2 linked regions of the Coturnix japonica genome follow. The protein of the gene in region 1 purifies or fractionates together with the protein of each later gene. This does not show direct contact. Links are inferred from orthologs where the notes say so. Each region holds a gene or a part of one and is shown in the gene's direction. Other genes may lie near its edges.

The links. Proteins that work in one complex are often made in the same cells at the same time.
Region 2: the proteins of TESK1 (region 1) and RABEPK purify together in Homo sapiens (affinity purification with mass spectrometry; 3 studies listed by BioGRID and IntAct, with this or other methods). This does not show direct contact. The link is inferred for Coturnix japonica from reciprocal best matches to the Homo sapiens genes TESK1 and RABEPK.

Annotation. Positions count from the first base shown.
Region 1 is NC_029547.1:8,287,924-8,292,130, forward strand, and holds the start of TESK1 (dual specificity testis-specific protein kinase 1), read left to right. Parts: upstream 1-1,407; 5' UTR 1,408-1,546; coding exon 1,547-1,795; intron 1,796-4,207. UniProt on the Homo sapiens protein: Dual specificity protein kinase activity catalyzing autophosphorylation and phosphorylation of exogenous substrates on both serine/threonine and tyrosine residues.
Region 2 is NC_029532.1:8,074,501-8,078,783, forward strand, and holds RABEPK (rab9 effector protein with kelch motifs), read left to right. Parts: upstream 1-1,483; 5' UTR 1,484-1,553; coding exon 1,554-1,612; intron 1,613-1,687; coding exon 1,688-1,833; intron 1,834-1,932; coding exon 1,933-2,085; intron 2,086-2,205; coding exon 2,206-2,367; intron 2,368-2,728; coding exon 2,729-2,878; intron 2,879-2,989; coding exon 2,990-3,139; intron 3,140-3,402; coding exon 3,403-3,698; 3' UTR 3,699-3,806; downstream 3,807-4,283. Other genes in the region: PPP6C (serine/threonine-protein phosphatase 6 catalytic subunit), read right to left, coding at 408-549, 856-921, 1,008-1,103, 1,314-1,388. UniProt on the Homo sapiens protein: Rab9 effector required for endosome to trans-Golgi network (TGN) transport.

The DNA of each region.
Region 1 (4,207 bases):
ACTGCAGCGGCAACCAGCTGCACGCAGGCTGCTGCAGCTTGCTGGGTGTAGGGCCCTGCGCACACGAGGGATATGCAGCATGCTGGGAAGTGTAGTCCTGCTGCATCACCTGTGCTGCGTGCTGCTGAGCACGACCCGGCTATGCACAGACTGCTGGGGCTGATGCGTTCTCCCTTGTCCTCTGGGCTCTGTACACTGAGCAGGTTGCCAGTGGGTTTTGACAGTCCCTGCTTTTCCTCATCTGGGCTTGAGGGGCTCGATTTGGGTTTGCTCAGCCCAGCCACGTTGCTGGGCTTGCTGGCACCACGGGAGGGCTGAAGGCATTGGGGACCTTGGTGGCTGTGCTAGGCAGGAGTAGAATGGTGTGGAAATAGTGCAGCACAGCTAGCAGTGCTGATGAGAGAAGGGACTGAAAATCCTGCAGCGGCAATTTCCACAGTCAGGGCTGTCTCCAGGGCTTTCATTTATCCGTTACAGCTTAATTGGATGTAAACTCAGCCACTTGTAAGCAGCAGGAGCCTGAAACAGGCTGTGGTCCTGAGCTTCTCTCTGTAAAATGCCTTACTCTCCATCTCTGCCTTGACCCTGGTGGGGCTGCTGCTCGTGTACACTCTAAGGAAAGGCCAAGGCAAGGTTTGCCTGGATCCCGGCTCCATGGACCTGTATTTTTAGCTTTCAGCACTGCAGATGAGCTGGAGGCAGCATGGCAGATGTTGGGATGCCATGCACAGAATGCCCAGGTACACATCCTGCTGCACGGTGGCTCCAGACACACAGCACCTATTAGCCCATCAAGTGGAGGCACTGGGCTGGAGTGGTGCTGCCATGGACAGGGATGGCTAAAACCCTAAGACAGGCACTGGCCAAAAGCACCACGACTGGAGACAACCTGCGCTGCTGCTTTTCTCAGTGGGGATAGCAGCTAGTTTGGCACAGGGCATGGGGGTACAAGACAGGGAGCCCTCAATGCAGGGAGCCGCAGAGAGGAAAGGATGGAAGGATCAGCAAGGATCAGGATGGAGGAGGAAAATGGGAGGACATGGAAAGGGAGAAAAGGAAAGTGGTCACGCTGTCACCAAGGGGCTGCACTTCCCACAGTCCCAGAGCCACCATCCGGGCAGGGAGCGGCAGATCCACAGCACGCGTCTGGGCTGGGACAGCCGCGATCAGAACCAGAAGCCTCGGCGGGGCCCATCCCCGGCTGCGCTGCTCGTAGGGGGCTCAGCGCCCGTGATCCCACGTGGCGAGGGGCTGGACAGACGTCCACACCGGACCCCACACATCGAAACCCCCACACCGCGGGTGGGGTCTCTGTGCCCAGCGGCGGCGGTGGTCGACAAGGAGTTAAGGGCTGTCCCCGCCTCGGCTCCGCCCCGCCAGTACCAGCGCTCGGGGCGGCGGAGGCGCAGCGCCGGGCCGGGCTGGGGTCGGTGCTGCAGGGCCATGAGCGCTGCGTTCGCCCCCCCCGCACCGCTGCTGCTCGTCGCGGGGCCGGGCCGGGCCGGCTGCGGCGGGACGGCCCGGCCGTGACCCCGCGGGGATGTGAATGGCGCGGGGGTCGCTCGGCGGGGCCGACATGGAGCGGGAGAAGCTGCCGCGGAGGCCCGGCTCGGCGCTGCGAGCGGAGCGGCCCGACGAGAACGAGGCGGGGGAGGCGGCGGGGCCGTGGCCGGGATGCGGGAGGATGCGGCCCTCCTCGTACCGCGCGCTGCGCAGCGCCGTCTCCACCCTGGCGCGCATCGACGATTTCTACTGCGAGAAGATCGGCACCGGCTTCTTCTCCGAGGTGTTCAAGGTGTGCGCGGCGCACGAGCATCATCCCTTACACGGGGGGCGGGGGGGACTGCGCGTCGCGGTACCGGAACGGGGTGGGGGGAGGCCTGGGACCCCCGAGGGCGAGGAGCTGCCCGGCGGCAGCGCTGCTGTTGTTCCCCGGGGGAGGGGAGCGATATTTACATCCAGGCCGGGCGCGGAGCTCCGGAGCGCTGCCACCGGCGGGTCGGAAAGACCCGGGGTGGGGGGGGATCCCGGAGCCGGTTCGGAGGCGGAAGGTGCGGCCGCCCCCCCCCCGTGCAGCCCGAGCGAGGCGGGGCGGTGTGCGGGGTCCGGCTGAAGCGAACTGTGTCGCGGGGCGCCTTTGTGTCGGCACAGGCGCGGGTTGATGGAGTGGGGACGGTCACGCGTGGCCGCGCCCAGGTGTGGGGTGCTGTGGTGCTGGTGGGGGATTGGAGATCCTGGTGGAGATGATGGTGCTCCCAGCCCATCGAAGGGCTGCCTGCCTGTTGTGTTCACTCCGGGGAGAGGTGTGTGCACACGTTATTGTGCTCAGCGTGCCTTGTATCGCCTTACGCTTCCTGTGGCTTCTGCCCTTTCTGACAACAGCTTTGCTGAATCGGGATCCCCCCAGCTCTTCTGCAGCCCCCCCGAGTGCTGCCCTGCAGTGTGGCCGTGGTGGCCGTGCAGAGAGGACCCTCCCATAGCCATCCCTTGCACTCCTGTGGGGCCGTGGCCTCGCTGCTGGCTGGACTCCTCCTATTGATCCTTGGCTGTGAGCGCGCAGCAGCACCTGGGAGCAGAGGGAGGCATTTAATAAAGCCAGGATCTTTAATAATAGATGCTCCCGGATCTCTGCCAGGCCATGGTTTCTCCATGCTCGCTGTCTGCTCCCACACCATACTCACAGTGCCGTGTCTGCAAGGAATTTGGAGGAGCAGAGGGTGCAGGGGTGGGAACCACAGCAGCCAGAACAGGAGGTGTCTGGATGGGCTCTCTGCAGGTACAGAGGGTTGAGGGCAAGCGCTGATTATAGTGGGGCTTAACGGGGTGACAGTGCCCTGATCTCACAAGGAGGATGCAGCACAGGGCCATGTTCCACCCACCTTTCTCCACCCCACAGTGCTTTTTACTGCTGTGGGCATTTGCAGCCGCCTTCTTGGCCCTGCTTCATTCCATCCCTGGTGGGCGTGGGGAATGAGGAGGGGCCTGCACCTCAGTGTCCTTAACCAGGTGGCTTGGCTCTGGGGTGCTGGCACAGCACAGCCATCTGATGGCGTTCCCCTGCCCACCCCTGGCTGAGCCATAGTGGTTGTTCCCGGGGTGCTCCCAGCCGTGCCCCCACGGAGCTGGCCCTCGCTGCTCCCGGCAGCAGCTGGTTCTCGGTGTGATTCCAGAGGCCCACCTGCTTCCTCGGGCACGCAGGCATTGCAGCGAGCCGCCTCTCCATCTCACTGATAGACAGAGCAGATTGAGCTGGCTGTGTTCGTGCCAGACATTTTCTCCAGCCCTTAACCCACTGTTGCATCTCTTCCCACTTCCCTCCCTGCAGCACCCTGCCTTCCCCTGGGGCTGTGCCCAAACATGCGCATCCTCCAGAGTTGCTGTCTCCAGGATGCAGCTCTGCATTGTGCACAGCCCCATGGGGGGCAGCCCTTGCTCAGGTGCCCCCTGCCCATCTCACATGGTTTCCCTGCCGACCTTTGAGGTTTCCTATTTATTCACAAATGACTGGTGCTGCGCATGAATGACACAGCTCTTATCTGGTGTCCTTCTGTGGCAGACCTCATCTCGTTCCACCAGTGACATGGGTAGCACCGATAGGGAAACAAACCCAGTCAGGTGAGCACTGCTGATGCTCAGGTTCTCATTGTGAGCAGCCTGGCTGGGCTTCCTGCTCCCACGCTCCCCAGAGGAAACCTTTCTTGTAGGATCTGCCTTCTCTGCATGGGGAGCAGCTTTTCCAGTCCAGCCCAGTGTGAGACCTGTTGCACTGCTGGGATCCCTGCAAGCTCAGATGGAGCTGTCAGGGTTGCCTGTGTCAGGGTTGCTCCTTGACCTGCACCCCTCTGCCCATCCTCATGGGGGCACTGGGACTAGGGGATGAGAAGGGCACCCAGCCTTTGCTCAAGGTGTGGGACCCCCAGGTGCTGGTGCTGCCCCGTGTCTTGCCAGGAGCGCAGGCTGCAGGGCCGTCTGCTCGCTCTGATTAGCATGTTCTTTAAATAAGACTCTAATTTCCGCTGTTAAAAGAGCCCAGATCCCTTGTGCCCAGGCTGGGGCTGCAGCCAGTCCCTCCCTTCCCCCAGCCCTCATGACAACAGATGGGATGGGGCCATAGAGATGTGGTGCCACAGGTGGAATGAGGCACAGGGAGCTCTGTGGGGTGCTGGGGGCCTTGGGCAGGCAGTGAGGACTGTTTGCTGCCTGGGGG
Region 2 (4,283 bases), on another chromosome or scaffold:
CTTTGGAGCTTCACGAGGCTTACAAATGTTTATATATGCTCTTGTTGACACACTATATCATGTTATCCAGAAGAAAGCAAATTACAGCCTATATATGACAATGCTTTTCTCAGTTATACCTAAAGAGAATTATGTAGAATCTTTTATTTAAAGATACCAAAGCATATCATCAAAAAATGCAAAGAAAAACTGAGATGCTGGAGGAAAAGATGGTCTGGAGATGGACTAAAACGCTTTTACTTCTTGAACACAACAGTGTTAAATAACATTTGAGACCGTTTCCCACCCAGTTCAAGTAAAGCCCCACTTAACAGTGCACACACAAAGCCGATTTCAAAAGGGAAATAGGAGGTAGTTGTTGATGGCATGCTGGCCCCCATTCAGAAATCACTTGGGTAAAGTCTTACCATAGAATCCATACACTTGTGTTATCTGCCTGCTTTCATGATTGCCTCGTAACAGCGTGATACGATCGGGCCATTTAGCTTTTAGTGCCAGAAGGTAAGTGAAAGTCTCAAGACTATAGTAACCTCTATCTACAAAATCGCCCTGCAAAGTCAAAACAGAATTATGAATGAAGAAACAGCAAAAAGGAGAAATGCAAAGTGACACATCCACCTTTAACTCCTCATTGCACAAAGGAACCTGACGCTGAAGGGAGCCAAGCGGTGAGAACGAGCTCAGCTCCCCAGCAATGGTTCACTCACCCCTGCACGGGACGCCCGGCTCTGCCCGCCCTGCAGCCGGGGGCAGCACAGGGGTGGGAGGGCAGAGCGCTGCCACCAGGGCCGGCACCCAGCGCAGAACCGGGACCAACACGGCGCGAGGAGCAAAGCGGCACCGGCACGTACATACCATGAAGATGTAGTTGGTGTCGGGCACCTGCCCGCCGGTCCGGAACAGCTCGCACAGGTCATAGAACTGCGGGAAGGGGCACGAGTCAGCGCGGGCGGCGGCACCGGGCACCGCGGGGCGTCCCGGCCGAGCAGCGCGGCGTGTCCCGTTACCTGCCCGTGGATGTCCCCGCACACGGTGACGGGCGTGGAGACGGGCTGCACGTTGGACTCCTCCAGCAGCAGGTCGCACACGTAGTCACACAGGCGCTGCGGGAACACGGCGGGTAGCGCCACCAGCAGCGCCGGGGTGTGCACCAGCACCACCAACAGCACCGGACAGTATCGCTATCGCTATCGCTATCGCCATCGCCATCGCTATCACTATCGCTATCACTATCGCTATCGCCATCGCTACTACAACCACCGGCACCGTCCACCGCCGCCCGTCCGACCCCGCCCCCCCCCGCCCGGTCCCACCTTGAGGTCGTTCTCGGGCAGGTACTTGCAGAGCCGAGCGATCTCCACGTACTTGTCCAGGTCCAGCGGCGCCATCTTGGGACGGCAGCTCGGAGCCGGAAACGGAGCTCTCCACTTCCGGGAAGCGGCGCGAGACTCGGACGCCAGCGGAACTTCCGCGAACTTCCGGCCGCGCACCGGAAGTTGGCGGCGGCCGGAGCCGTGTGGGGCGGGCGGAGCTCGGCCCGGCCCGGTCCCGCCATGGGGCCGCTGCTGCCGCCGCTGCTGGAGCCGGGCAGCCGCCCGCGGGCGGGCAAGTGGTGAGCGGGGGGCGGGGCGGCGCGGTCCCGGCCGGCTCTCGGCCTCGGCTGAGCGCCGCCCGTCGCTTCCCGCAGGTACCGGCTGGCCCCGCGCGGTGAATGGCCCCGCGGGCGCGTGGGTCACGGCTGCGTGCTGGTACCGGGCGGGTCGGGCCGCGTGCTGCTCCTGGGCGGCGCCGACCCCGCGGGCGCTTTCGCGGACGCGCACTTCGTGGAGCTGGGTGAGGGTCGGGTCGGACCGGGCGGAGCCGCTGCCGTTCCCCGTTAACAGCCCCCGCTGCCGCCGCCGTTCCCCGCTAACGGCCCCGCCCCGCCCGCAGACACACACCGCTGGGCCCCGGCTGCCTGGAGCGGGCTGCGGCCGCGCTACGAGCACGCCACGTTCCTGCCCGCCCGCCTTCCGACGCGACTCTGGGTGTTCGGCGGCGCGCACCCGGCCGGGAACCGGAGCTGCGTCCAAGTGCTGGACCCCGGTGAGTGCCGGCACCTCGTCGGATGCCGGACCTCGGTGGAGCGGGTGTCGGGCCGGGCCGGCGGTGCGGAGCGGCCCTTCAGACCTCGTGTATGCTTTATTAATTGAATGTCTTAATTAGAAATAGGAACCTGGGAGAGTCCCGAGGTGACGGGTGTTCCGCCACTGCCCAGGACATTCCACACCTCCTCAGCAGCTCTAGGGACCTGTCTGTACGTCTTCGGAGGTGGAGACAAAGGAGCGGAGCCGGTTAAAGACCAGCAGCTTCATGTCTTTGACACAGGTACCTGAGTGTGTCGTGAGCTGTACCGGCACTGGAAGTAACCGCCCGCTGTTCTGAAGTTCTGCCTCCCAGATCTCATCAGCCTTGGCTGCGAGTTTCAATGGAGGGCTGAAGGTTGCTGAGGGCTGAAGGTTGCTGCTGACATGTGCTCACCTCTGTATTGCAATGGGGAACTTGGGCCAAAGTGGCAGTATAATGATTTGGGACAGGAAATGCTGTGAGACTTCTCATGACCTGTTGGTATTATTCTGTCTGTTCCTATAGTCCTGCATACCCCAGGAGGGAACCCCAGCGAGACTCGGGGGCTGCTGGTTTGTAGAGCTGACAGTTTTCCTCATACACACACATTCCCATTTTTCAGATGCTTTGACATGGACCCAGCCTGGCACCCACGGTGACCCCCCTTCTCCTCGGCACGGACATGTCATAGTTGCAGTTGGGACCAAGCTCTTCATACATGGAGGTTTAGCTGGTGATATTTTTTATGATGATCTGTTCTGCATCGATACAAGTAAGTAGGGCCACAAGTACCTTAGAACAATGGCTGTGCTATGAAGTGTTTTGCTTTGGTTTTGTTTGTTTTTAATAATGCATAACCATATCTGTTCTTGTTCTCCACCAGCCGACATGAAGTGGGTTAAGATAGCAGCCACTGGTGATGTGCCGGGAGGACGGGCATCCCATTCATCCACTGTGTTTAAAGATCACTTATACATTTTTGGTGGAATAGGTCCAGATGGGACTCTAGATACTACATACAAGTATCATATAGGTAGGGAGACTTCTCTCAGCTTTCTGATGGTAAATGCCAGTCTGTTTGAAAATCTATAAAATACATTGTGGTTTTAGTTCCTAGGCTTCATTCTCCTAGCAATTAGTGTCACTGCACTGGAAATATGTCAGTACAAGTTCTGTTGTTACGGCTAGATGGTACTGCAGACTGGTGCATAATTAGCAATGGTACTATCCAGCGTGGTTTTTGAGTCTGTTTAAAAAAGCACTGTTTAAAGATGTGAATGTATTTTTGTACTGCAGAAGAGCAGAAGTGGACACTGCTGCAGTTTGATTCTCCTCTGCCTGCTGGGAGACTGGACCACGCCATGTGTGTCATTCCCTGGCGGGTTGGCAAGAATGGTGACACTGGAGCTGTCACTAGGGATGATAAAGCTGAGCCAACTGCATCAGCTGGTGACAGAGCTGAGCACCTCTGTGGAGGCCAGGATGAGAAGGCATGTACTGAAGACACAATGGTGCATCTGCTGTTAATATTTGGTGGGATGGATACACAAGCAGAGATATATAGGGACTGCATTGTAAGTCTGATTGAATAGTCCAGCTGCAGCCCTTCACAGGACCATCCCCTTCCTTAAGTTTTTGTATTAGTGTCTGATTAAGTTCTCTATTTCCAATAAACAAATTCTTGCCCTATAGGGGTGGCAGTCCTGCTCTCTGTGCAGTTGTGTACCAGTAGATGTGTCAGTCCCTTTGGGAGGATGCAGCAGCTGTGCCTTCAGCAGCTTGGCTCACGTGCTGCTGGAAGGTGAAAAGCCAGAGGCTGCAGTGATTTGGGGCAGCTTTCTCCCTGAAGCTCACACGCTCCTAGTTGACTATAAAGCCACTTCTACCTGCAGAGCTGAGGTTATCTGCAAAGACTGGGGGATCATTAAGGGAGTTCGTCTTACAGTATTTTGAAAAGAAGAAGATGAGAAACCCTGACTCCCCTGCACCAGGAAAGGTGCCTTTCAAGGCAGTAGAGCTGGTGCTTAGGCCTGAACTTGCTGCTCCTGTTACTACACTGGGGAACCAGTAAGACTGGCCTTGAGATACACAGCTGTTCTCAGTTTTTGACGCCGGCTGGCTTTCATTCTTCAGAAAACTGCATTTCTTTATGATCTTTGTCCCATTTCTGTACCAGC